Linked DNA regions of Anolis sagrei. The protein of the gene in region 3 purifies or fractionates together with the protein of the main gene of each other region. This does not show direct contact. Links are inferred from orthologs where the notes say so. Each region holds a gene or a part of one and is shown on either strand. Other genes may lie near its edges.

What was found.
Region 1: the proteins of NUP107 (region 3) and NUP37 purify together in Homo sapiens (affinity purification with mass spectrometry; 7 studies listed by BioGRID and IntAct, with this or other methods). This does not show direct contact. The link is inferred for Anolis sagrei from reciprocal best matches to the Homo sapiens genes NUP107 and NUP37.
Region 2: the proteins of NUP107 (region 3) and TPR fractionate together in Homo sapiens (co-fractionation; 4 studies listed by BioGRID and IntAct, with this or other methods). This does not show direct contact. The link is inferred for Anolis sagrei from reciprocal best matches to the Homo sapiens genes NUP107 and TPR.

The regions. Positions count from the first base shown.
Region 1 is NC_090025.1:171,478,875-171,487,017, forward strand, and holds the start of NUP37 (nucleoporin Nup37), read left to right. Parts: upstream 1-4,644; 5' UTR 4,645-4,716; exon of another isoform or gene 4,717-4,782; intron 4,783-5,570; 5' UTR 5,571-5,626; coding exon 5,627-5,782; intron 5,783-8,143. Other genes in the region: PARPBP (PCNA-interacting partner), read right to left, coding at 1,263-1,412. UniProt on the Homo sapiens protein: Component of the Nup107-160 subcomplex of the nuclear pore complex (NPC). The Nup107-160 subcomplex is required for the assembly of a functional NPC.
Region 2 is NC_090024.1:120,612,027-120,620,584, reverse strand, and holds the start of TPR (nucleoprotein TPR), read right to left. Parts: upstream 3,373-8,558; 5' UTR 3,319-3,372; coding exon 3,168-3,318; intron 909-3,167; coding exon 804-908; intron 1-803. Other genes in the region: ODR4 (protein odr-4 homolog), read left to right, coding at 7,373-7,471.
Region 3 is NC_090025.1:143,085,175-143,093,610, forward strand, and holds the start of NUP107 (nuclear pore complex protein Nup107), read left to right. Parts: upstream 1-5,319; 5' UTR 5,320-5,397; intron 5,398-8,436. UniProt on the Homo sapiens protein: Plays a role in the nuclear pore complex (NPC) assembly and/or maintenance. Required for the assembly of peripheral proteins into the NPC. May anchor NUP62 to the NPC. Involved in nephrogenesis.

The DNA.
Region 1 (8,143 bases), about 28 Mb from region 3:
CCAGCTGTCAGCTCTGGTTTGGAGTGCAGTTTTCTTGTACTGGTTCTTGGTTTGCTGTGCTTTGAGAAGTTTCTGATTGACTTCAATTAAAGCAGGTTCTTGGCTTTCCTTTACATATTCTGCCAGGGAGTGTTTTTCTTCTTCGACTGCTTGTTTTACTTGTAAAAGTCCTCTGCCCCCAGACTTTCTAGGCAGATAGAGCCCGTTGACATCACTGTGAGGATGTAATGAATTATGAATGGTCATGAGTTTTCTAGTTTTTCTGTCCAAATTGTCCAGTTCTGCCTGTGTCCAGTTTATGATGCCAGCAGAGAACTCCAGGTCTCGGCGGTGGCCAGGGGAGCTTTCACACAGTTAAAACTTGTGTGCCAGCTGCACCCATATCTTGTGAAATCTGACTTGGCCATGGTGGTCCATGCTCTGGTTACATCCCGAATACATTACTGCAATGTACTCTATGTGGGGTTGCCTCTGAAGACTGCTCGGAAGCTTCAGCTAGTCCAACGCTCAGCAGCCAGGTTGCTCACGGGAGAGGGGAACAGGGAATGTACAATTCCCCTGTTACGCAAGCTCCGCTGGCTGCCTTTTAGTTTCCGGGCACAATTCAAAGTGCTGGTCTTAACCTATAAAGCCCCAAATGGTTCCTGCCCAGTTTACCTGTCCAAACGTATCTCCCTCCATGAACCACCAAGGACCTTAAGATCATCCAGAGAGGCCTTACTCTCGGTCCTAACGCCATTGCAGTTGCGTGGGTATGAGGCAGGGCCCTCGGCTGTGGTACTCCCTTCCTGATGAGATTAGATCTGCCCCATCCCTCCTGACCTTCCGGAAGAAACTCAAATCCTGGCTGTGGGATCAAGCATTTGCAGAATAGACTGATTTACTGGTGAAGATAAGCTTTAAATGGACTGCAGTGGACTGATTTGGATGTCGATTTGAACCAGCAACTGTTTTAATGTTTTTAATGTATGCTAATTGTATTTTATGTTATTTTATTATATTGTGTCGACATCAAATAGTTGCCTGTTGGAAGCTGTCCTGAGTCCATCTTCAGAGATTGAGAAGGACGGGTATAAATGTTCTGAACAAATAAATAATTCAGACATATTAACTTAATTTGGGCAGTTTACAAATGCAACAATGAATATGTGTTGTTGTTTTGTTGTTTATTCGTTCACTCGCTTCAGACTCTTCATGATCTCATGGAGCAGCCCACATCAGAGCTCAAGGTCAAGCCAGTTACTGTCTCTTAGTACACTAACCTTTTTATTGATTTCTGCAACTGATAGCTGCAAAGCCACCAGCATGGAGTCTATACCACATACAGTTGTCCTTTCAGAATCTGAATATAAGCGCCATTCCTTTCGAAAACACCGAATCATATCCAAGATTCTTTGCTGGACAAATGACATGATCCTAAAACAAATAAAACAAGATATAAAATGAACATAACTGAGAGAGAGGACCTGTGAACATTCAAATGGAAAAGATGGACTAGCGCAAGGGCCCCCAAACTAAGGCCCATGGGCCAAATGCGGTGCTCCAAGGTTATTTACCTGGCCCCCAGTCTAAACTTTACATTTAGGGTTGCCCTAGGTCTGAAACGACTTGAAGACAAACAACAACAATCTTAATTAACTTGACTCTTTCATCAGCCAAATGCAGCCCCACACTGCAGCACATTTTGCCATATTTTTCAATGAATATCTCATAATTTCAACCAATTCAACATAGTTTGTGACAGCTACAACAATGTAGTTTCTGGACTATAACTACTTTCAAAGTACTGCACAATTAAACAGGAATGGCACTTTCAACATAAGAACACAATTTATTTTAGAATTTTAGATTTTAGAAAGGTGGTTTCAAAAAAGGGCATCAGATACGATTTTTTTTGTCATGTCAGGAGCGACTTGAGAAACTGCAAGTCGTTTCTGGTGTGAGAGAATTGTCCATCTGCAAGGACGCTGCCCAGGGGACGCCCGGATGATTTGATGTTTTTATCATCCTTGTGGGAGGCTTCTCTCATGTCCTTGCATGGGGTGCTGGAGTCGATAGAAGGAGCTCATCCGCCTCTCCCCGGATTCGAACCTGTGACTTGTCAGTCTTCAGTCCTGCCGGCACAGGGGTTTAACCCACTGCGTCACTGGGGGCTCCTTGTCAGATATGATAAAGCATCTTTATCATCGGCCATGCCCTGGAACCTGTCCAGATATTCTAGTCTATAATGGGATACAAGTTGCAATTAAACACATCTAAAAGAGAACAACCCGGGGAAGGTTTATCTACATTGACTTAGTGAACAGGACTCACATCTACAGCTGGGCCTAGGCTCCTTGGAAGAAATTTGTTATGTGCCTTCAAGTCATTTCTTAAGATGAATCCCTGGAGTATTACAGCACACCAAAATACACGGAAGTCACTCTGGACCATGCTCTAACCTATAAGAAGAACTGTTTGAATATCAAGCAAAAAGTGTGTGCTAGAAATAATATTGTACAAAAACTGATTGGCACAACCTGGGAATCACAACCAGACACAGTGAAGAAATCTGCCCTTGTGAGTTACTACTCTGCTGCTGACTATGCATGCCCAGTGTGGAATACATCTCACCACATTAAAACAGTGGATGTGACTCTTAATAAGACATGCCGCCCCACACCACTGAAGAAATTACACTGTTTAGCTGGTATTGCACCATCTGACATCTGCTGGGAAGTAGCAGTTAGCAATGAAAGGACCAAGGCAGTGACATATTCGGCCCATCCTCTGTTCGGATATCAATAAGCATGCCAACACCTTAAATCAAGAAACATCTTCCTAAGATCTACAGAGATACTCACGGGAACACCTCAGCAAATGAGAGTCCAAAAGTGGCAGGCTAAAATCCAGCACTTAAATCAGTGGCTGAGACTGGATGATAAACTCCCTCCTGGGCACACAGAAGAGTGGAAAGCGCTGAATAGACTGCCCTCTGGCACCATGAGATGCAGAGCTAACCTTAAGAAATGGGGACCACAAAGTGGAGTCCACGACATGCAAGTGTGGAGAAGAGCAAACCACAGACCACCTACTACAATGTAACCTGAGCCCTGCCACATGCAAAACAGAGGGCCTTCCCACAGTGACACCTGAGGCACTCCAAGTGGCCAACTTCAGGTCAAAGGACATTTAGCATAATGCCAAGTTCTTTTAAACTTTGTGTTTTTTAAATGCATTCTAACTGTACCCTCAACTTGCTTCTGACATGATAAATAAATCGATAACTCATTTCTAACTTATGCTGGCTCTAAAATTGGGAGTTGCTCTGGGCAGAGTGAAGAGAGAGAGGGTTACAATTGAAGACAGTTCCATCTTGTCTCCTGTGCTATACTAATAATATAATATATTGTATATACATATAATATTTATAATATTATAATGTAATACAATATAATACTACTACTAATAATATAATATTATAATTATATATTTTATATTACTTTAAAATTACTAATAATATTACAATGTAATGGTGTAGTACAATATAGTAATATATAATACTGATATTGTTGTTGTTCATTCCTTCAGTCGTTTCTGACTCTTCGTGACCTCATGGACCAGCCCACGCCAGAGTTCCCTGTCGGCCGTCAGCACCCCCAGCTCCTTCAAAGTCAATCCAGTCCCTTCAAGGATGCCATCCATCCATCTTGCCCTTGGTCGGCCTCTCTTCCTTTTTCCTTTCATTTCCCCCAGCATCACTGTCTTCTCTAAGTTTTCCATTCTTCTCATGATGCAGTACTTCATTTTTGCCTCTACTATCTTTCCCTCCAATGGACCAGTACAACTGATATTATACTATGCTAATAATTTAATATATTGTATGCATATATATCTTGCAAGCCACTCTGAGTCTCCTTCGGGGCGAGAAGGGTGGCATTTAAATGTCGTAAATAAATAAATAAAGCAAACCTATCATAGGATTTTCTTGGCAAGATTTCTTTAGAGTGGGGTTTGCCTTTGTTTTGCTCTAAGACAGAGAGGATGAGATTCGGACAAAGCCATTCAGAGGGTTTCCTTGGCCAAGTAAGGATTTGAACCCAAGTCTCCACTGTCACAGTCTAGTGCTCAAACCACTACACTTCTGTTGTCCCTTTTCGCAATATTTATATCAGGACTGGGCAAACTTGGTCCCTCCAGGTGTTTTGGACTTCAACTCTCACAATTCCTAACAGCCGATAGGCTGTTAGGAATTGTGAGAGTTGAAGTCCAAAACACCTGGAGGGACCAAGTTTGCCCAGGCCTAGTCTTCACTGTAGAATTAATGCAGTTTGAGATCACCTTAACTGCGATAATTAAATGCTATGGAATCTTTGGAGGTGTAGTTTGGTGAGGGACAACACTCTTTGCCAGAGATGGAGAAAGGCCTTGTAGACCTTGTAAAACTACAACTCCCTGGGTCCCATAGCCTTGAGCCAGGGCAGTTCAGGTGGAGTCGAGTCCCACTGGAGCCCCACGCCCCTCACCTGGGCACTGCGGCCTTCCTCGAGGCGCTCCCTCCAAGGAGGCTCCTTCCACAGAGCCAAAGAAGCAGCTGTCAGCGGCGGAGGTTTGAATTCGAACGCTGCGCGTCTCAACCAATCGGAAAGCGGGACCCGCGGCGACCCGGAAGAGACTCTCACCCGGAAGCGCAGCTGCCTCACGAATTCTTCGCGGGAGAGTAACAGAACGAATGAGGTGAGCGAGCGAAGGGATTGTTTGCGTGGGAATCCACCGGCCGCTCAACACCCCAGGCCGCTCTAAGTAAGGGAACGTTCATTGATATCTATATCTAAGAAAGTAGTGCTAATGGGTTCTATCCAATGCAATTTTCTGAACTGGCCCCCCAAATAAACCCAGAGACATCCCTAAAAAGCAAGACACCAAAAACGTTTTGTGGGGCTTTGTTATTATTACTATTATTATTTGGAACAATGAGAGTTATCTACAGGCCCGTAGCCAGGATTTCGGGTTTTTTTTGGGGGGGGGGGGTTAAATTTTTTTCGGGGGGGGGGTTTCGGGGGGGGGCTGAGTTTTGGTGGGGGGCTGAGTCTGAGTGAAAGAGGGTCTAGCCTAGCAAACCTTTTGTATCATTATCCCAATACCCCCATGCATATGGGATATATTGAGCATGGTGATCAGATCATGATATGAATACACATAACAGTTTAAATAATGCACCAGTAAGGCCTTCTTGCGTACCACTCTGAATCCCCTCCTAACTGAAGCATATGTCAAATCTGGTAATTCCCATGGCATACTTCCTTGGCAACTGAAGCAATAAACTTTTGATTCTGCCCTCCTTTCTGCATGTCTTGATTGCGAAACATTGGGGTTGGCATGCCAGAAACAAACAAACCTCAGGAGGATATATTGAGCATGGTGATCAGATCATGATATGAATAAACATAACAGTTTAAATAATGCACCAGAAAGGCCTTTTCGCGGACCACCATGAGAATTTCGGGGGGGGGGGGCTGAAGCCCCTCAAGCCCCCCCTCCTCCCCGGCTACATGCCTCGTTATCTAACTATGTGTATGTTTACTATTTAGCTCCTTGTCCAGCTGAGGAGTCTTCCATCTGGTTACTCAGAATACCTCCGCTGAAGATGAAACAGGAAGCTTCCCGAAGTGCATCCTATACTGTGGAATGTGAAGATTATGTGCATGTGGTGGAATTCAGCCCATTTGAGAGCGGAACTGCAGATTCTCTGATAGCATATGGTGGCAATCATTATGTGGTTGTTGGAACTTGCAGGTTTCAGGTTAGTGTGCATTATAGTTAACAGTGACCAGGTACCATGTTAGCCATTCAGCTAGTTTCCAGTGTTTGATAATAGAAACATGTTGGGAAGATTGTTGATATAGTTCCACTTCACTGTCTAATAGTGCCTCTAAATCAGGGGTCCTCAAACTTTTTAAACAGAGGGCTAGGTCACAGTCCCTCTAACTGCTGCAGGGCCGGATTATAATTTGAAAAAAGCATTAATTCCTATGCACACTGCACATATCTTATTTGTAGTGCAAAAACACTTAAAACAATGCAATAATTAAAATGAAGACAATTTTAACAAATATAAACTTATTAGTATTTCAATGGGAAGTGTGGACTTGCTTTTGGCTGATGAGATAGGATAGTTGTTGTTGTTGTTGTTGTGTGCTTTCAAGTTGTTTCAGACTTAGGCTGACCCTGAGCGAGGGCCGGGTATATGAACTTCGAGGGCCGTATTCGACCCTCGGGCCTTAGTTTGAGGATCCCTGCACTAAATGATCTGATAGCTGTCTTGGAAGTGATATTAAGAACTCCCATTCTTTGATATCCAGGCTGAGAGTGATATGTGAAACAGCACAGGACATCATAGTTGCCAAATTGTACGTATTACAGTTAAGTTCCTATTGTAGGAACTACTTTGTGACCATGATGGTAATTTTTAAAATGATCGAATTTACATGATGTTGACCACTGAAGGTCTTGTGAAACAAATTAATCTTACTTGATTGATACCCTAAAAGTTATCGGTAAAAAAAAAATCCATAAACCTGTTGTCTTCAGATTGTATTACATTTGGGAAATAAAATTGTTCATTTTTATGGTTATGTGACTTCCACAATTTTGACAGAACTGGAGGTGGACTTTTGTAGATATGGAACCTCTTGTTAACAGTACCTTTCTGCTTGTACAAGCAATGACTTCCTTTTTAGACCCTTCACCTCCAGATTCTGTTTAAAAGTCCCTAAAGAGGGAGCCTCCACCAGAGGCAGAGAGTTCCACTGCTGAACAGCTCTTACTGTCAGGAAGTTCTTCCTAATGTTAAGGTGGAATCTCCTTTCCTGTAATTTCAACCCATTGCTCCAAGTCCTGGTTTCCAGCACAGCAGAAAACAAGCCTGTTTCCTCTTCCTTATGACATCCTTTCAAATATTTATACATGGTAATAACGTCTCCTCTCAACCTTCTCTTCTGCAAGCTAAACATACCCAGCTCTTTAAGGTGCTCCTCATAGGGATTCATGGTCTCCAGACCTTTGATCATTTTAGTTGCCCTCCTCTGGATCCCGTCCAGCTTGTCAATATCTTCTCTTGAATTGTGGTGTCCAGAATTGGACACAGTAGTCCAGTTGTGGTCTAACCACAGCGGACTAGAGGTGCACCATGACTTCCCTTGATCTAGACTTCTTTTGATGCAGCCCAAACTCCCATTGAATTTTTAAGCTGCTGCATTACATCGTTGGCTCATGTTCAACTTGTGGTCTACTAATGTTAAGGTAATTTTGAATTCTGATGTCTCTCCCAGTTTGATGTCATCTGCAAACTATATAAGCATGCCTTCAAAATCTTCATTCAAGTCATTAATAAAGATGTTGAACAGCACTGGGCCTAGGGCAGAGCCGTGCACCACCCTATTAATCACCTCTGCCCAGGATGAAAAGATTGCTGATCGTTGTTTATTTTTTCCATAGGGTAGGAGCACTTAAAATCTGTTGTTGCAGGACATTTTATCCAGTTTTTTAGTCATTAATATTATAGTTTCCCTGGTTTCAGTCTTCTCCCAAATACCTTTCAGCATCTACATAACCCACTGATAGTTCTGTATATAGGTTTGTGTTGAGGTATTAAACTAATAAGCATCTTTACCCCTTCTGTACTTTTTTCACCATGTAATCTCAGGGAGGCAACTGCAACCTTGGATTTCTGAAGGAAGAACTAGAATTAATAGGAAATACCAATATGAAATCTAATGTTAAGACAGAAGTAGTTGTGCTAATCTGGGTCTAGATTTAAAATCTGATTCTAAATAGACATACATTGACCTTGTATGCAGTCTAGAAGTGCTCTAGGATTCATTTTTGTCCATGGAGGCACATGTGTCGCCATGAGTGCTTTGGACCAGTTTAGACTAGCTCACATGATCACAGCAGCACATGCCTTAGTTATGATTCAAGTTAACTTACTTTACTGTGCTCTGTTGCCATAGTGCTGCCCTTGAAAACAGTTTAGAAACTAACTGGTATGGATTGCAACAGTAAGGATTGTATGAAAACTAGGCACTTGAACTATATTACTTCCACCTGTTACTTTGGCTTTTAGTTTTCCTTATCCTGCTCATTTGCCAAAGGACAGCTTGGT
Region 2 (8,558 bases), on a different chromosome or scaffold from region 3:
GGACAAGTAGAATTCTCAGCAGGCTCTTCCCTACTGTGAGATTTTTTATAGGTTTTCCTAAGTTCAAGCATTAGCACTATTTGGAAATAACATTTCATAAATTCTTTGTGAGCCTATTAACAGACACTTTAATTAGTCTACTTTTATTTTAATGCTATTGATGGTTTCTTTTATTCTCATTGTTTTGCTTGGTTCTCATCAACTGGCAAAACCAAATGAGCTCTTTACAGTTCAGGATCATTTACAGTAACTATCTGTAAAAAAAAAAATTCCGATTTGTAACAGTTTTCTAAATAGAATTTTTAAATGTACCAAACCTGGTAATTTTATTCCATACTTGAAGCACAGTTTAAATCACTGTTACTTTGTTCTGAAGTAACAAAGTGATTTTCAATCTATAAAAGATGCTAATATTGGATTATTTTCCAATTATATATGGAAATTTGTATTACCTGCAATTATTTGGGGGGGGGGGGCGGGGGGAGAGAAAGCTTTCATCCGATAAGTGTTGGAAGTATTACATCTCCACATATCCCTCCTTGTGCCTCTTCATGTTCCCTATGTGCTCATATCCCTCCCCCGCCTTTAAAAAGTATTTTAATGCCTAAATGTATGCTTTATTCACAGTCTTCTGGTTCTTTTAATGCTGACCATTGACTAAAATAAAAATGTTCTGTTCTGTTCATCTCCACATACAAACCACATACATGGGTTGAATATGTCAATATTTGTCTTAACATTTCACACAAAAGATTCAATTAACAATATCTAACAATGAAATATTTTTAAATCACCATACTTACTGAGTTTGTGGAGTTCCTGTTGCAAATTCTGACATTCTTGTGTCTCATTTACAAGTCTCTCCTGACTCTGAGCCAGTCGTTTTTCCACTTCAAAATACTGTTGTTCTGCAAATACCCAAATAACATTACTTCAAAACGTGTTTCTTCAGGATATTATACAAATAAGTCTCCACAAAAGCATTCTGGAGTATACGCTCGACTCATGAAAAGCACCTGTACTCCAAGTGAGAACAGATGAGATTATTTGATCCAAGAGGTCTGCAAAATGTCACAGAAACTAGGAAGACATCACAATTTCCGAGAACCACAGCACAGAACCACAGCACAGAAGATTTCAGAAGGTGTTCACTTTAGACTGTATTTCCTTTCATTTTCTCTGACCAGAAGCACCAAACAAATTCTATTCCTCATTCTACAGACTTTACTCATGGTATCCCAGAGTAGAATGCCATATGCTGCATGCGTTTCTTGGAAACTACAATACATTTATGGAACTCCCTTGTCCCACATGGTTGTCTGACTTATCATATTTACTCAAGTCTAATGTGCACCTTTTTGGCTAAATGACCTTGCAAAAATTAGGGTGCACATTAGATTTGATAACGCTCAAAATTGGCTACCTCCCTCCCTTGATTTGTTGGGTTCTGTGGTACCTCAGAGATGCCCATTCACCCTCCTCTTCCTTACCTGCTCCTGCTGGGAACTGGCAGCAGCAGCAACGCACAATTCCATCTCTCCTTCTTTCCCCCCTCACTGTCCCTCAACTGGCACCAGCCCTTTGCCTTTCCTAATGGCAGAGAAGGGGCATCTACACATGGAAGTCAGCCTAGAGGCTGCTGGTTAATAAAGCCTTTCCTCCATCTTCCTCCATTCCTTTCTACTACCCGCCCCCCTCCACTCAACGATTGAGGAGGGAGAAAACTGGCTGGTTGAGGAGGGAAAGAGGGAAAAAACTACACTACCCTGCTTTCCTATTTCCCCCCTCAAAAAAGCCCGCTCAGCTCCTCTCCCTTCAGCTGAATGTTGGCTGGTTTGAAGTGGAAAGGAGGAGAGGGAGAAGCAGGGAGAAGGCAGCTGCTCAGATTCAGTGGGCCCTGAAAGAAGAGGAGGTGGAGGAGGAAGGGCTGCCGCCACCACCGCCTTCCCACAGTCAAGGAAGTGTTTGGCAGCATGTTTTCCCCAAACTCCTTAGAAAAAATGCATTTTTCACTTCATCATCAATTAAAATTTTATTACAATCCAAAGATCAATTTAGTTTAGTGGCTAAAAGTGCACAAATGTAAACAGATTAATAAACTGCTAAAACTACACACAGGATGGCATGCAATACAAGATACATATGAACATGGGTAAGAATGCTGCAAATAGATACAGGGAAAGTTTCAGCCTGAAACTAATACAGAAAGTTATCCTATCCTTTTCACTTGATAGAATACCTTTCTAGGAATCTTTAGATCCATAGGGTTATGCTAGCTGACCCAGAGATTCTAAGTCTCTGGGTCCTCCAGCACAACTTTACATTCAACTTCCAATAGAGAAGCTCCTAGAGACCATATTAATCCAATTCATGAATTCTTCCCATCTTTTCCTTCCTTCCTTCCTTCCTTCCTCCCCCCCCCCCCCCAAATTATCAGGGTGGTCCGCGAGAAGGCCTTATTGGTAGATTATTTAAACTGTTATGTTTATTCATATCATGATCTGATCACCATGCTCAATGTTATCCCATATGCAAAGGGGGTATTGGGATAACGATACAAAAGGGTTGCTAGGGTAGATCCTTACCCACCCCCCAACCCCGAATCAAACTCAGCACCCCCCGAATCAAAATCCTGGCTACGGGCCTGATCCAGGGAATTCGGTATCCAAACCCCAGCCTACACAAAGGGCCACGAAATTATAGCTGCGTTCTCGCGGTCCTCCTTTGACTCCAGGGCTTGAAACCAATGGCCCTTTCTTTCATAGAATCATAGAATCAAAGAGTTGGAAGAGACCTCATGGGCCATCCAGTCCAACCCCATTCTGCCAAGAAGCAGGAATATTGCATTCAAATCACCCCTGACAGATGCCCATCCAGCCTCTGTTTAAAAGCTTCCAAAGAAGGAGCCTCCACCACACTCCGGGGCAGAGAGTTCCACTGCTGAACGGCTCTCACAGTCAGGAAGTTCTTCCTAATGTTCAGATGGAATCTCCTCTCTTGTAGTTTGGAGCCATTGTTCCGCGTCCTAGTCTCCAGGGAAGCAGAAAACAAGCTTGCTCCCTCCTCCCTGTGGCTTCCTCTCACATATTTATACATGGCTATCATATCTCCTCTCAGCCTTCTCTTCTTCAGGCTAAACAAGGTCTCTCTTACGAGGCCTCACTCACCGCTGTCCACCTTGTAGCGCTCGTGCCGGGTGCGAAGCGCGTCGATCTCGCTCTGCTGGTCGGCCAGGAAGCGCTCCAGCTTCCCCTGCACGACCTTGGGCAGCTTGGCCAGCTCGGCCCGCTCCAGGACCTGCTGCAACACCACCGCCATCTTGGCCTGCGATCTGCTCCAGAGAAGGCCAGGGCGCGGAGGCACCGGCGCGCATGCGCACGGATGGACTGGCGCGTGCGCAGAACGCTGCCGCCGCTCCTCAAACCTAAGAGGTAGGAGAGCGGCAAGCTGCTTTTTCCCTTTTCTACGTTTTTCACGTGGAATGCTTTGGTTTCATTCGCAATTTTAGGCGGCTTTCCTTTCCCGCGAGGCGGAAATCCCACAAGAGAACTAAAAAAAAAAAGAGGAGCAATTTAGTGGAATCGCTCTACTTCCGCCACACTCACAATGGCAGCCGCGCGCGGGCTGACTTGAGCGGCTGATTTAGAAACTGCGCGTGTGGTGTCGTCATCACAGTGCGCCCCGTTTTGGGCGACCAGGAGATGACGGAGGTTAGGCCACCTCAGTGTGTACGGCAAGAGGGAGCCAGCTGGTGCCTTGGTGATGGGGAAGCTGCCTTGACAGGGTGGAATACATGCAATAAGGAAACCCCTCTTTGGTGAGAAGGAGAAGGCCGCTTTGGTTGCATTCATAGGCGGGAAGGAAGGGAAGGGGGAGCCTTCGCAGGCAAAATCTCAGAATGGAAAACAGATTGTGAATTGATCGAACTGGGATAGTGGAACTGCACAGAAGGAGATCTTTTCCTGTGTGGTGTTGACTCTCCTCAGCTGTCACTTTGGCATTTTACATAAAAAACTCTTATCAGCCCCTTCTACACTGCCATATAATCCTGATTGTCAAATCAGACAATCCACATCTCCTTTGAACTGTATTATATAAATCCGCATAATTATTCATTTATTTATTATTTAAACTTATATGCCGCCACTCCCCTGGGGCTCGGAGCGGCTTACAAGGATAGCTAAAATCTAACAAAGTTTAAAAGCAATTTAAAGCAATTTAAAAACAACAGTATCAAACATTAAAAGCCTGTCAGAACAGGTATGTCTTACATGCCCTGCGGAAAGCTGGTAAGTCTCGCAGGGCACGAACTTCAGGTGGCAGAGCATTCCAGACTGATGGCGCCACTGCTGTGAAGGCTCTGCGTCTGGTTGCCGTTAGACGCAAGGTCTTGACACTGGGGACTTCCAATAGATCTTGGTCCTCAGAGCGGAGGGATCTCTGGGGTTGGTAGGGGGTGAGACGATCCCTCAGATACATTGGCCCCAGACCATGCAAGGCCTTAAAGGTGAGTACCATCACTTTGAAAGTGATCCAGTGCTCAATTGGTAACCAATGCAGCTGTAGTAAGATTGGTGTTATGTGGCATCTCATCGGAATTCCCGCAAGAAGCCGAGCAGCTGCATTTTGTACCAACTTGAGCTTCCGAATCACCGACAGAGGGAGGCCAATGTAGAGGGCGTTACAGTAGTCCAGCCTTGAGATGACCGTGGCCTGGATCACCGTAGCTAGGTCGTCCCTGGACAGGTAGGGGGCCAGCCGTCTAGCCTGCCGCAGGTGAAAGAAGGCGGTTTTGCTCACGGCGGAGACCTGGGCCTCCATTGTCAGCAGAAGGTCCATTGACTGCTCATTGGAGGGAAGAATAGTAGAGGCCAAGATGAAGTACTTTGGCCACATCATGAGAAGAAAGGAAAGCTTAGAGAAGACAATGATGCTGGGGAAAATGGAAGGAAAAAGGAAGAGGGCAAGATGGATGGATGGCATCCTTGAAGTGACTGGATTGACCTTTTATTTATTTATTTATTTATTTGCTTTATTTCTATACCGCATTTTTCAGCCCGATAAGGCGACTCAATGCGGTTTACACAATGAAATTATCACAATAACATCAATACTATCACAACAATATCCTAAACAATTAAAACACATCATATACAGCAACAAAATCAAACAATCATTAACAATTCATAACGCCTCAATATGAAATCAGAATCCGTTCTCGTAATCCTTGTGCCATTCCTGAGATCAAATTTTACCGTCCTCCTATATTCAGTTGCACTGTTTAGCCAAACGCTTGTTCATAGAGCCAGGTCTTAACCTTCTTCCGAAACGCCAGCAGCGAAGGGGCCTGTCTGATGTCTACAGATAGGGCATTCCATAGCCGAGGGGCCACCACCGAGAAGGCCCTGTCCCTCGTCCCCGCCAAGCGCGCCTGTGACGCAGGCGGGACCGAGAGCAGGGCCTCCCCGGACGATCTTAATGTCCTAGTCGGTTCATAGGTGGAGATGCATTCGGAGAGGTAAGTAGGGCCAGAACCGTTTAGGGCTTTATAGGCTAACGCCAGCACCTTGAATTGTGCCCAGTAGCAAATTGGCAGCCAGTGGAGCTGGCTCAACAGAGGAGTGGTATGCTCCCTGAGTGCCGCTCCCGTTAGCAACCTGGCTGCCGAGCGCTGGACCATCTGAAGCTTCCGGGCAGTCTTCAAGGGCAACCCCATGTAGAGCGCGTTGCAGTAATCTATGCGGGATGTAACCAGAGCGTGGACTACTGTGGCCAAGTCAGACTTCCCAAGGTACGGGCGCAGCTGGCGCACAAGTTTTAATTGTGAATAATTTAATAATGTAATTTAATAATTTAATTTAATAATTTAATAATCCTTGAAGGAGCTGGGGGTGGTGACGGCCGAGAGGCAGCTCTGGCGTGGGCTGGTCCATGAGGTCACAAAGAGTCGGAAACGACTGAACGAATGAGCAACAACATATAAATCCACATTGCCTTATAATCCAGATCAAAGCGCATACTCTGGATATTATATGTCAGTGAAGAAGGAGAATCCCTTTCATATAAATACTGCAGAGACAATTATAGGTTTTGGAGATTTTTTGGAATTTTTCAGGATTCTGGAATCCTGAAATACTCCCAAATCTAAAATTGTCCACCCAAGTTGCTTGAGACAGTGTCACTTTGTTTTCCAGTAGGCCACTGTATGTAAAGCGTTTCATGACCAATATTATTTAAAATCTTGTGTATAAAACAACTTTCAGGCTATGTCTGCAAGATTTATAAGAAAGCCTAATAAAATTCCATGCTGGGTGCCATCTCTCAGATATCTCATTATGCAAATATTCCCAAATCTGAAGTCCAAAACATCTCTGGTTCCAAGCATTTTTAATAAGGAAGACAGTTCCGTCATCATCATGGTTATACAGGGTGAGTCAGCATAACTTCCTTTTTTAAAAAGCGTGCCATTCAGTTGGTTGAAGACGTAACAGAGCGTTAGTGGTCTCGTTCAAGAGGTGGGAGTATAAAGTTTTGTCCTGACACAGTTCAGTCGCCATCATGCGTTGGAACAGTGAGGAGCGTGCTTTTGCTGTTGAGGCCTACTTTTCGAGCGGATTTGGAGTGGCTGGCCCGCTCTCCAGATTTGGCCCCTTGTGATTTTTTTTCTATGGGGTTTTTTGAAATCCTGTGTTTATGTGAGCCGTCCAAGATTTAAAGACCAACATTCAGGAAGAACTGGCCAATATAACACCTGCTATGCTGGCAAGAGTCATGACAAATGCCAGAAATTGATTTACTCAGTGTATGGAGAATGGGGAACGTCACCTACCTAATTTAATCTTCAAAACTACGTAAAACAAAATTTTAGGTATGCGCCTACATTATAAAAAAATCTGATTCATACAATGGGTTTTATTAAGTTTTTTAAAAAGGAGGTTATACTGCCTCACCCTGTATTATACTTTAATTTAATCTTCAAAACTACGTAAAACAAAATTTTAGGTATGCGCCTACATTATAAAAAAAATCTGATTCATACAATGAGTTTTATTAAGTTTTTTAAAAAGGAGGTTATCCTGCCTCACCCTGTATTATACTGTGTATTTCTACCCTGCAGCTCACAAAAAACAATACTATCAAAAAAACCCCACAAAAGTCAGGTTTAAAATAAAGTTAAATTGCTTACAATCCTTAAAACAATTAAAATACAATTAAAAAATAAGTAAACACCTGTTAGAAACAATTCAGCCTAAAACTACTCAAAGCCCCCTAAACCATTATTAGGATACTTTCTCTTTTAATTCCAAGCACTTTTCATTTTCTCTCTCCTTGTTTTTAATGGTTTTTGCTGGGCTCTTAGATACTAACAATCATGGGAAGAAGCTGCTTTGTTGAAGAAGCTGTGGGGCAGTATCTCTTGGATCTCATCACCACTTCAAAACCTTTTGCCATTGGTCTCTTAGTGGGGCAGGTGAGTGTCATGTGATGTTTGGTATACTAAAACATCCCTCTTGGTTTTGAGTGTTTCTTTCCTAAGTAGAAATTATCATGCAACTTTTATTACATCTTGAAGTTTCTAGCTTTTAGTATTTCGTGTCAAGAGCACTGCATAAAATAGTTTGTCTCAAACGGATAAAATAAAGTGATCACAAGCTGTTAGATAGTTTTAGACCAAAAACGGGTAACAATGCTGTCCGTAGCTTTAAACAGTTCTTCCTCTGTGCACGAGGCAGGGCATTGAGGGCAAGCATAGAGATGCTAAGTTGCTTGTTCTGCTCCACAGTTGCACAAGATGGAGGATTCTTGTAGGAGTGCCATTTTTCCAGGTTGTTTTTGATCTGCCCACTCCACTTCTGAGTCTGTTCAGGGACTTCCAAGTTTGCCCCTGGAAGAAGACCCTCATGGGGGGCCATCCAGTTGGAATTGCTTGATTTTGCTGCCCACAGGGATATTATTTGCTTTTACTGGAGGAACATTTAGAGGAGTGGTGGTTCTCATGAAACTTTTCCTTGATTTAAGTCTACTGGGAGGAGGCTGGTAGCCATATAGTGGGTGGCTTTCACAGTGTTGAACCTTATTTCTCTTTTAACTGGCAGCAACTTCCCATTGCACATAGGAGGGGGGGGGGGATGCCAGCTAACTTATAGAGTCTATTAACAGGTGTAGGTTTAAGACTTTATGATTGTTCTACATTTCTCATTTATTCACCTGCCTCATATGAGCAGATTTATGCCAATTGGGGCAGGCATACTCAGCATTTGAGTAAAATAGTGCCAGGGCTAATGATCTTATTAATTTTGGGTCTGTGTCCCATGCACAATTAGTAAGTTTCCGCAGAATGTTACTGTGTGTAGCTATTTTGTACTTGTTTGCACAGTATTTCCTAAATGTTAGCGTTCGATCTAAGATGATGCTTAGATATTTAGGGTGGAAACAGTGTTCAAGCTCTTGGCCTTCCCAGATAACCTTCAATTTCCTGTTGGCTTCACAATTATTTTTTATTTTATTTATTTATTAATCAATTTTATATACCACCACTCCACAAAGGCTCGGATCGG
Region 3 (8,436 bases):
ATAGCAGTAAAATATCTGTTTTAGGAACATTAGCACACAATTTGAAGCCGTTACCCAAGAAGTAAGTGATTAAATCATAAAAAAAATACTGCATTCAGTTATGATCAAATAGTATGTATAAGTTGGACAAAATGTACTGGAAATACTGCTGTTATGTCCTCAAAATAGTGTTTAAAATATACATCAATAGCAAGACTAATCTTAATTTCAATAAAAATTAAACAAATGAAGGAGGGGGTGTAACTCCCAGAGTTTGGGAAAGGAGATGTATGGCCTCCAAGGGGCATTTGCAGCTCTCGGGATAAAGTTTTCAGCCATTTGAGAGAAGTGGAATAAAAAGTCATCCATAGATTCTGTATTCATATTGCACTTGTCATGAGTGTACTCGAACACTTGCTATTTCAGTTTGTCTCTGGACCTGATCTTTGTTATGAATATTTAATAATATATTTTGTTTGAAGATCATGGCATAACAGATGAGTTATGCTAAACCTCAGGAGAATGAGAATCTTCAAGCAGTCTACCACGTGGAATATGAAATACTTGTAATTTAAACACAATGATGCTGTTTTGTTGCTGAGATTCCACCTGAGATGCTAAATCTCCTTGGTTTCTCTCCTAATTGCTCTAGGTCTGAAGAACTGTTGCTGACTACAACAGTGCCAGCATTCCAACTTTATTAAACCTACCAACATCTTAAATGGACTTTCCTATGGTGGTACCCTTATGAAACGGATGACAGCTACTACATCAGTTTGCACATTCTAATCACGTTCCAGTGTCACGAGAGATTTTTACTTATAAATAACCTATGTGTATGCAACTGGTAAAACCAGAGCCTACATCCAGTATTACAGATAAAGAGACATTGTTCATCCGCCAATGTTGTACATGTATGAAAACTGTACTGTATCTACAACAAACCCCATACTTCCTATTGGAGAGTACAATAATGTAAATCCTAAAAGCACCACTATTTTAGCGTAATAAAAGAAAGTCCAAAGAGCTCCTATATAGACTACTCCAGATAACTTTGCTTCATTGGTATTTGTAGCTTATTGTAACTTTTTTAAAAGAAATACAGGATCATCATTGTATTGTACAAAAGCGCTTTGATTAACACAACAGCTATCTAGTTTTTTAATTTTAGGATAAAAAACCTGTGGAGACAGTGACCTAGTCTTATTAAAATGAGTCCTTTCAGTATAATGTCTGCCTAAAGACATTGCCTTTAATATCTGTTGGGAAGGAAATGTCCAGATTTTTCAACCTTTTATTGTATGTTTCCTTTTCCTTGTTTACATAGGGAACAATGTTTATAGTTGTGTGTACAGTGGGGGTCTACAACAAGAAGTGTATATTTTAAAACGATTTTTTAATGATTTAACAATTTTTTTGTAAATCATTTTTGGGCTTCTGCAGCTGTAGATTCTCACTGTGAATTCCCTTGCTTGCTCATGCATAAGTGTATTTGCAATACCAAATATACAGGTTTAGTACTTTTGCCTGTTAGTGATTGTTTTACATGTGTAACGTTTTGGTTGAGATGTTAAATGGTGGACGAGTACTGTGGATGTGAATGTGGGAAGTAATTTTAATCATGTGTAATTGGTCCCAGGGCCTAAGTTGCAGTAATTACCTTTTTGCTGATTTATTTAACAATGCCTTGTTGCTTTGTATGCATTAACGTTTGGGTGTAAAGATTGCGTGTAAAATCCAACAGGGAGCCACAGTATTTAAATTGACCAACCTAATGTTACAACTGCTTTGAGGTGGCCAAATGTAAACTAAAAGCCTTAATTAAAAGTGGTGCAATTTTGTATGACTTAGCATCAGTAGTTCAATAAATTTGGATTGCCATGCAAGGGCTTGCATTACAACTATCTATAAGTGAATGTTTTGTATCTTTTGCTGATGTTAGCCATAAGGTGGTTAAAATACTTGGACAAAAAAAGGATTTAGGACTTGAACATAGGGTTTACAGTTGATACAGAAGTCAACAAGAAAATGGTATTTGTCACCAATAAGTCATCATGGATGTATGCTCCTAAACCACTAATGTTCCAATAATGTAAAATTTCAACAGCAATTTTTGGAATTGGATCAATCTTCATTGCTGTTTTAATTCTTCTAAATCCCAGTCCAATACTGATCACTTTTTAATTTTACATCATATAAACGTATTTCATTATCAGATCCATAACTCTGTTTTAGGGATTAATAAATTAAATTTACCATGCATAGTCTGTTTTAATTTCACTGCGTTAATACATTCATACAATTGGGATAAAACCAAAGACACTCTGTGAACATATTTCTCTTTTGTTTTTATCTATTCATGACTTTGATTTTTGTAGCTTTCTTGAAGCTTCTCTTCCAAATGGAGCAAATGTAAAAAGCAGTTACATCATTTTTTGTAGTTCTCAGGATTTTTTCCTACAATCCCAACATATAGTTGTTGTTGTGGGCTCTATTTACCCTCTCACCTCTTTAGATCAATCTGGAAGGGCCCTCTAGATACAAAAAAACACCTGGCTCCAGTAATTCCTTTCTTATTAGAAATGGGATTCGAAAGGACTAATCTAATTAATCTCATTGAACTATTCTTGAATATGAAGTTTTAAGTCTTGCAACCTAAAACCAAGCTGAACCAAAAACTAAGTAAAGAACCAACAGGGTAATATACAGCTTGTTGATTTCTTGGCAGTAGAGAGAGCATTCATGGCGAAATTCCCATTTAGGCTACACATTTCATGTCCTATTTCTTATCTTAATTGATTTGATTTTGTTTGCATCGCTTGACTGGTCTTTTAATTTTAGAGCACAGGGGATTTCTTCTTGCACTATCTAGGAAGTTCACAGATGGTGCAGAAGTAAACACAGAAATGTAGCTGATTCTCAGATACCGAATACTCATCTATGAACCTTTCCTTGATACTCCTTCAGTTCAGAAGAAAAAAGAGGATAAAGTGTATAGCTAAGAATAGAAAAAGTGTACAACATCAGAGATCCCATATTTTATGATGGATGAAAAGACGACTGACCTCAGCAGGTAGAGAACAAGAAACGCTGCAATGAAATCCTCCTTTATGTACCATTAAGAGCCCTCACAAAGCTATGCATCTATGGCTGAGCCAGCTATATTTGGAAGCCCTTTCTTTCTGAAGGAGGACTGAAAGAGATAGCATATTTTGCAACATCTCAAAGAATTAAACCAGGATGCACGTGGCCAGGCAACATCTGAATGTGGCAAAAGTTATTAATAAAGAACATACAAGCCAGGAAGTCTTCACCTGTTTGCTTTTACCTGTGCCACTGGAAAAGAATGGGTTTTGTCTCTTCTTCTGTGTGGCCTTGCACGGATTGTTTTTCCTTTGCTTTCAAAACATTTTTGTAGTTGGATCTGTAAGCTTTATCATCATTAGGGCATGAGTGGCTGAAAAACCTGGTGAAAACAGGATGGCACCAAAAAAGAGAACTGTTCATTCTGTTTCATAGCTATGTATGTAAGCACAGCTTCCCTTCCAGAAGAACATTAAGGCTCAAAGTGAGGTACAACATGGTTAAAACCAACAAATGCAACACCATTAAGATGCATATATCAAAATATTTTTTATTTAGAACTTTTGTATCCCGTTCTACTCTACCTCCGTGGAGGGATTCAGACCACGGCTAATAGCAAAAATTCAATGCTTTACAATACATAACATAAATAACATACACAGTAAGTTCTAAAATGCATATAAAAGACAATCATCAGGTTAAAAACATCATCCAACTCAATCCAATTATTCATTGAATCTTCGTCTATGCCGGATCATCTATCAAACTGCGAATGCCTGATTCCAGAGCCAGGATTTTAGCTGCTTCCTGATTGATAAGAGGAAGGGGGCAGACCTAATCTTGCCAGGGAGAGAGTTCCATAGCCAGAGGTAACCACAGAAAAGGCCCTGTCTCTCATCCCCACCAACCACGACTGCGAAGGTGGTGGGATCGAGAGCAGGGCCTCTCCAGATGATCTTAGCATCCTTGATGGTTTATAGGAGGAGATGCATTCGAACAGGTAAACCGGGCCAGAGCTGTGTAGGGTTTTATAGGTTAAAACCAGCACTTATGCACTAATACCAATAAAGGAAAGCCAATACACTCCAAAATTTTCAACATGGGTAACAGATGGGGTGCATCTACACCCTCCAGGTGTTTTGGACTTCAACTCCCACAATTCCTAACAGCCTACTGTTCGGAATTGTGGGCCAAAGTTTGCCCATGCCTGATCCACACTGTAGAAGTAATGCAGTTTGACACCACTTGAACTGTCATGGCTGAATACTGTGAAATCCTGCCAGCTCTAGTTTTGGATGGTCTTTAGTCCTTTCTGCCAAAGAGTACCAGTATCACCCCAAGTCCCAGGATTCCAGAACATTGAACCATGCCAGTTATAGTAGTATCAAACCCCATTCATTCTGCAGAGTAGTTGCACCCATAGTGACACCTTTACTTTAGGGTGGTTTTGTGTACTGCGTAGTACCGTTTAGGTCACGTGTAGGTGTCTAAAGTCTGAGCCCTACAAGAATTTCGCATTTAGACCCGAGTCCTAGACTTCATGATACAAATACTCGGAAATTTTTTGTTTATGTGATTTATATTGTTTTGTATTGATTGTTTTTGTTATTGCCTTGTTTACTGATGTACTGTGGGCTTGACCTCATGTAAGCTGCACCGAGTCCCTTGGGGAGATGGTAGCGGGGTATAAATAAAGTTTTATTATTATTAAATGCCAAAAAAGGGGCACTGAATCTGCCCATCAGTTGTCAAATAGCGGCTTTTCTGGCACCTTTAACCTGCAATCTCTCATCAGGGCCCTTCCACACAGCCATAAAACCCAGAATATCAAGGCTGAAAATCCCACAATATCTGCTTTGAACTGGGTTTTCTGAGGGCCCTTTAACACAGAATATCAAGGCAAAATAACCCCCAATATCTGCTTTGAACTGAAATGCATGGCAGTGTGGACTCAGACAACCCAGTTCAAAGCAGATATTGTGGAATTTTCTGCCTTGATATTCTGGGATTTATGGTTGTGCGGAAGGGCCCTGAGTCCACGCTGCCATATATTCCAGTTCCAAGCAGATACTGCGGGGTTTGATTGAGCTGTCAGGAAGGGGCCCCAAACTTCCTTCCAGCGATGGAAAACTTTCCCGCCACGCCCAAAGCGGTGGGGGCTAGGCGGTCTTCCTCGCCTGCAGGGGGCGCCATGTGTACATCTCCATGGAGCTATTCCCTTGTCTCGGGAGAGAGCCTCCTGCCCTCATCCGGGTCCTGAGTTTCACTTCCGCTTCCGGCGGGCGGGAAGTCTCAAGCAACAAGCGGCAGCCGGCACTCGGCTGTGGAGAGCAGGTGAGTATGGCGGAAGGTCTATAGGCGAGTCAAAGGCTGGAGGGGAGGCGTGAGCATTGGGTTGAGAGGTGAGGCCCTCCCGCCTTCTATAGTTCAGCAGCCGAGGAAGAAATGGCCTCAGGCATGTCCTTCGCCTCAGCAAAGCAGCCAAGGCCTCTTCTCTTTTCTTTCCCGCCGCTTCAGCTTCAAGATTCGGCCTTTCTCCAGGTGTTTTGGACTTCAACTCCCACAATTCTTAACAGCCTCGGGCCCCTTGGTTTTCCCCCTCAGCCGGGGATTGGAAAGCAGAAGGTGTCACTGTCTCAGTCACTCACTTGGGGATTCTGAAGTCTTGAATTTCAGATAAGGGATGCTCGAGCATTGAGCCTCTCGGAAGTGCCCGTTCGCTTTCACACTGCACTGCTTGGATGGCAATTTAATCACCTTTTCTCTGGGATATACAGTTTTGTGAGGGACGTAGGATTGTCTCTATTATGGGGAAGGTGAAAGAGACAGCCCCACAAAAGATAGGTAACATTAGCTATGTTAGGAATTCTCAATTATTTCACTGTAGCTAAAAACGATTAACCTCCCCCAGTCCAGTAAACATGTATTTGAATTTAGAATAATAGAATCAAAGAGAGTTGGAAGAGACCTCATGGGCATTCCTGATAGATGGCCATCCAGCCTCTGTTTAAAAACTTCCAAAGAAGGAGCCTCCACCACACTCCGGGGCAGAGAGTTCCACTGCTGAACGGCTCTCACAGTCAGGAAGTTCTTCCTCATGTTTAGATGGAATCTCCTTTCTTGTAGTTTGAAGCCATTGTTCCCCATCCTAGTCTCCAGGGAAGCAGAAAACAAGCTTGCTCCCCCCTCCCTGTGACTTCCTCTCACATATTTATACATGGCTATCATATCTCCTCTCAGCCTTCTCTTCTTTAGGCTAAACATGCCCAGCTCCTTAAGGTGCTCCTCATAGGGCTTGTTCTCCAGACCCTCAATCATTTTAGTCATCCTCCTTGGGACACATTCCAGCTTCTCAACATCTCTCTTCAATTGTGGTGCCCAGAATTGGACACACTGTTCCAGGTGTGGTCTAACCAAGGTGGAATAGAGGGGTAGCATTACTTCCCTAGATCTAGACACTGTGCTCCCCCTTTCTTGAAACAGTGGGCTGTTAAATGGGGCTTACTCCCAGCTAAGTATGTATATTTTATTATTTATTTACTGTATTTTCACCCAGGCCTTCTCAACCCCGTAAGGGACTCAAGGTAGCTTATATATATAGGCAACAATTAGATGCCAAAAACACACATAATAAAAAAATAAGCATTAAAAAAACCAAAATCCATGGGTGCTCACATCCCATCATACACAACGGCATAGTAAAATTGTGGCCTTTGTATGTATTGGCAAATTGAAGGTTTGGTTTTTGGATTTCAAAAAAATGTTTTCAAACCATGGATGATTGAATCTGTGGTTGGGCGACTGCAGGAAAAATCAGTTGCCTGAGGTGTTCCTCTCATTCCTTCATAGAGAATTAACCTTAGTAGGTACTTTGGAATATTACTGTGACTGGCAGATGTTCTTCACACTGTTCTCATTCATTCACACTGTTCCTTGGAATATTACTGTGACTGACATGTTCTTTACACTGTTCTCATTCATTCACACTGTTCCTTGGAATATTACTGTGACTGACAGATGTTCTTTACATTGTTCTCATTCATTCACACTATTCTTTGGAATATTGGAATAACTGGTATGTTCTTTATACTATAGCCATTCATTCATTCATACCATTCCACAGGAATATTACTGTGACTAACAAGTATTCTTTACACTGTTCTCATTCATTCACTCACCCTGTTCCTTGGAATGTTATGTGACTGACAGGTGTGCTTTTACAGTATCTATTCATTCATTCTCACCGTTCCTTGGAATATTAGTGTGGCTGACAGCTGTTTCTCACATTATTCTCATTAATTTATTCCCCTTTTCTTCCCACAACTTGAAAGTGTTATTCTTTTGGACCCCAATAGCCAGGTTCCTTCAGATAGAATGGTCAATAGGGACTAGACTTTAAAAATTGAAAATTTTCCAAGTTTGGCTCTCTTAGAGATCAATGGTTTTCAAAAAGTGGAGTGTGTGTATGTGCTTGCATATGCAAGTGCAACAAGTCTGATAAACTTACTTTGGCTTCCGGCCTGATTTGGTTTTTTCCCCCCATCTTGCATCAGTCCAGAAATCTATGAAGGCCTTCATCCTCAAATCTTTCTCTGGGTGCCTTGCCATCTGAACACAATGAGAAGGAGTATCTTTTCAATAGCGGCACTTCACTGCTAGATTTTCTCTCTAGAGCAGGCCTGCCTGGGTACCCATGTTAATTGTCATGTTACTGGTGCTGTACAAGCATACTGGTACTAAGCAAACTAATTCTGCTTTTGCAGGCTTTCTAGAACTTGTAATGTAGGATTCTGAACTTTCAATCAGACTTTATTTTTGCAATCTGTTTCATTGTACTATTCTTATTTTATTTTATTCTGGTTTGTATTCCTTATGTTTTCATAATAAGGAGGACTGGGATACTCTAGACCAGTGTTTTTCAACCTGTGGGTCCCCAGATATTTTGGCCTTCAACTCCCAGAATCCTAACAGCTGGTAAACTAGCTGGGATTTCTGGGAGTTGTTGGCCAAAACACCTGGGGACCCACAATAATGCCATTGGAATGCTGGCTGACTTACTTGTGCCCCATGGCCATCATGGTACACTTTAAAGAACAACTAAAACAGCCATTGTTCATCTATTTTAATTGTTTTACTACGTCAGATGTTTTAATGTTAATTATGTTTTAATGTACTTTGTTTTATGTGTTTATTTGTATCATGTTTTTCATTTTTGATGTTTAATTTTCTTCATTAATTGCATTCTTCAGACAATTAGTTCACTATTGTTATTTTGTATCATGTCATATTGCCTTGATGTATTTGTACTTGTTTGAAAGTTTGCCTTTTTGTGTGTGTAAACCGCCCTGAGTCCTCTTGGAAAAAGAGGACAGT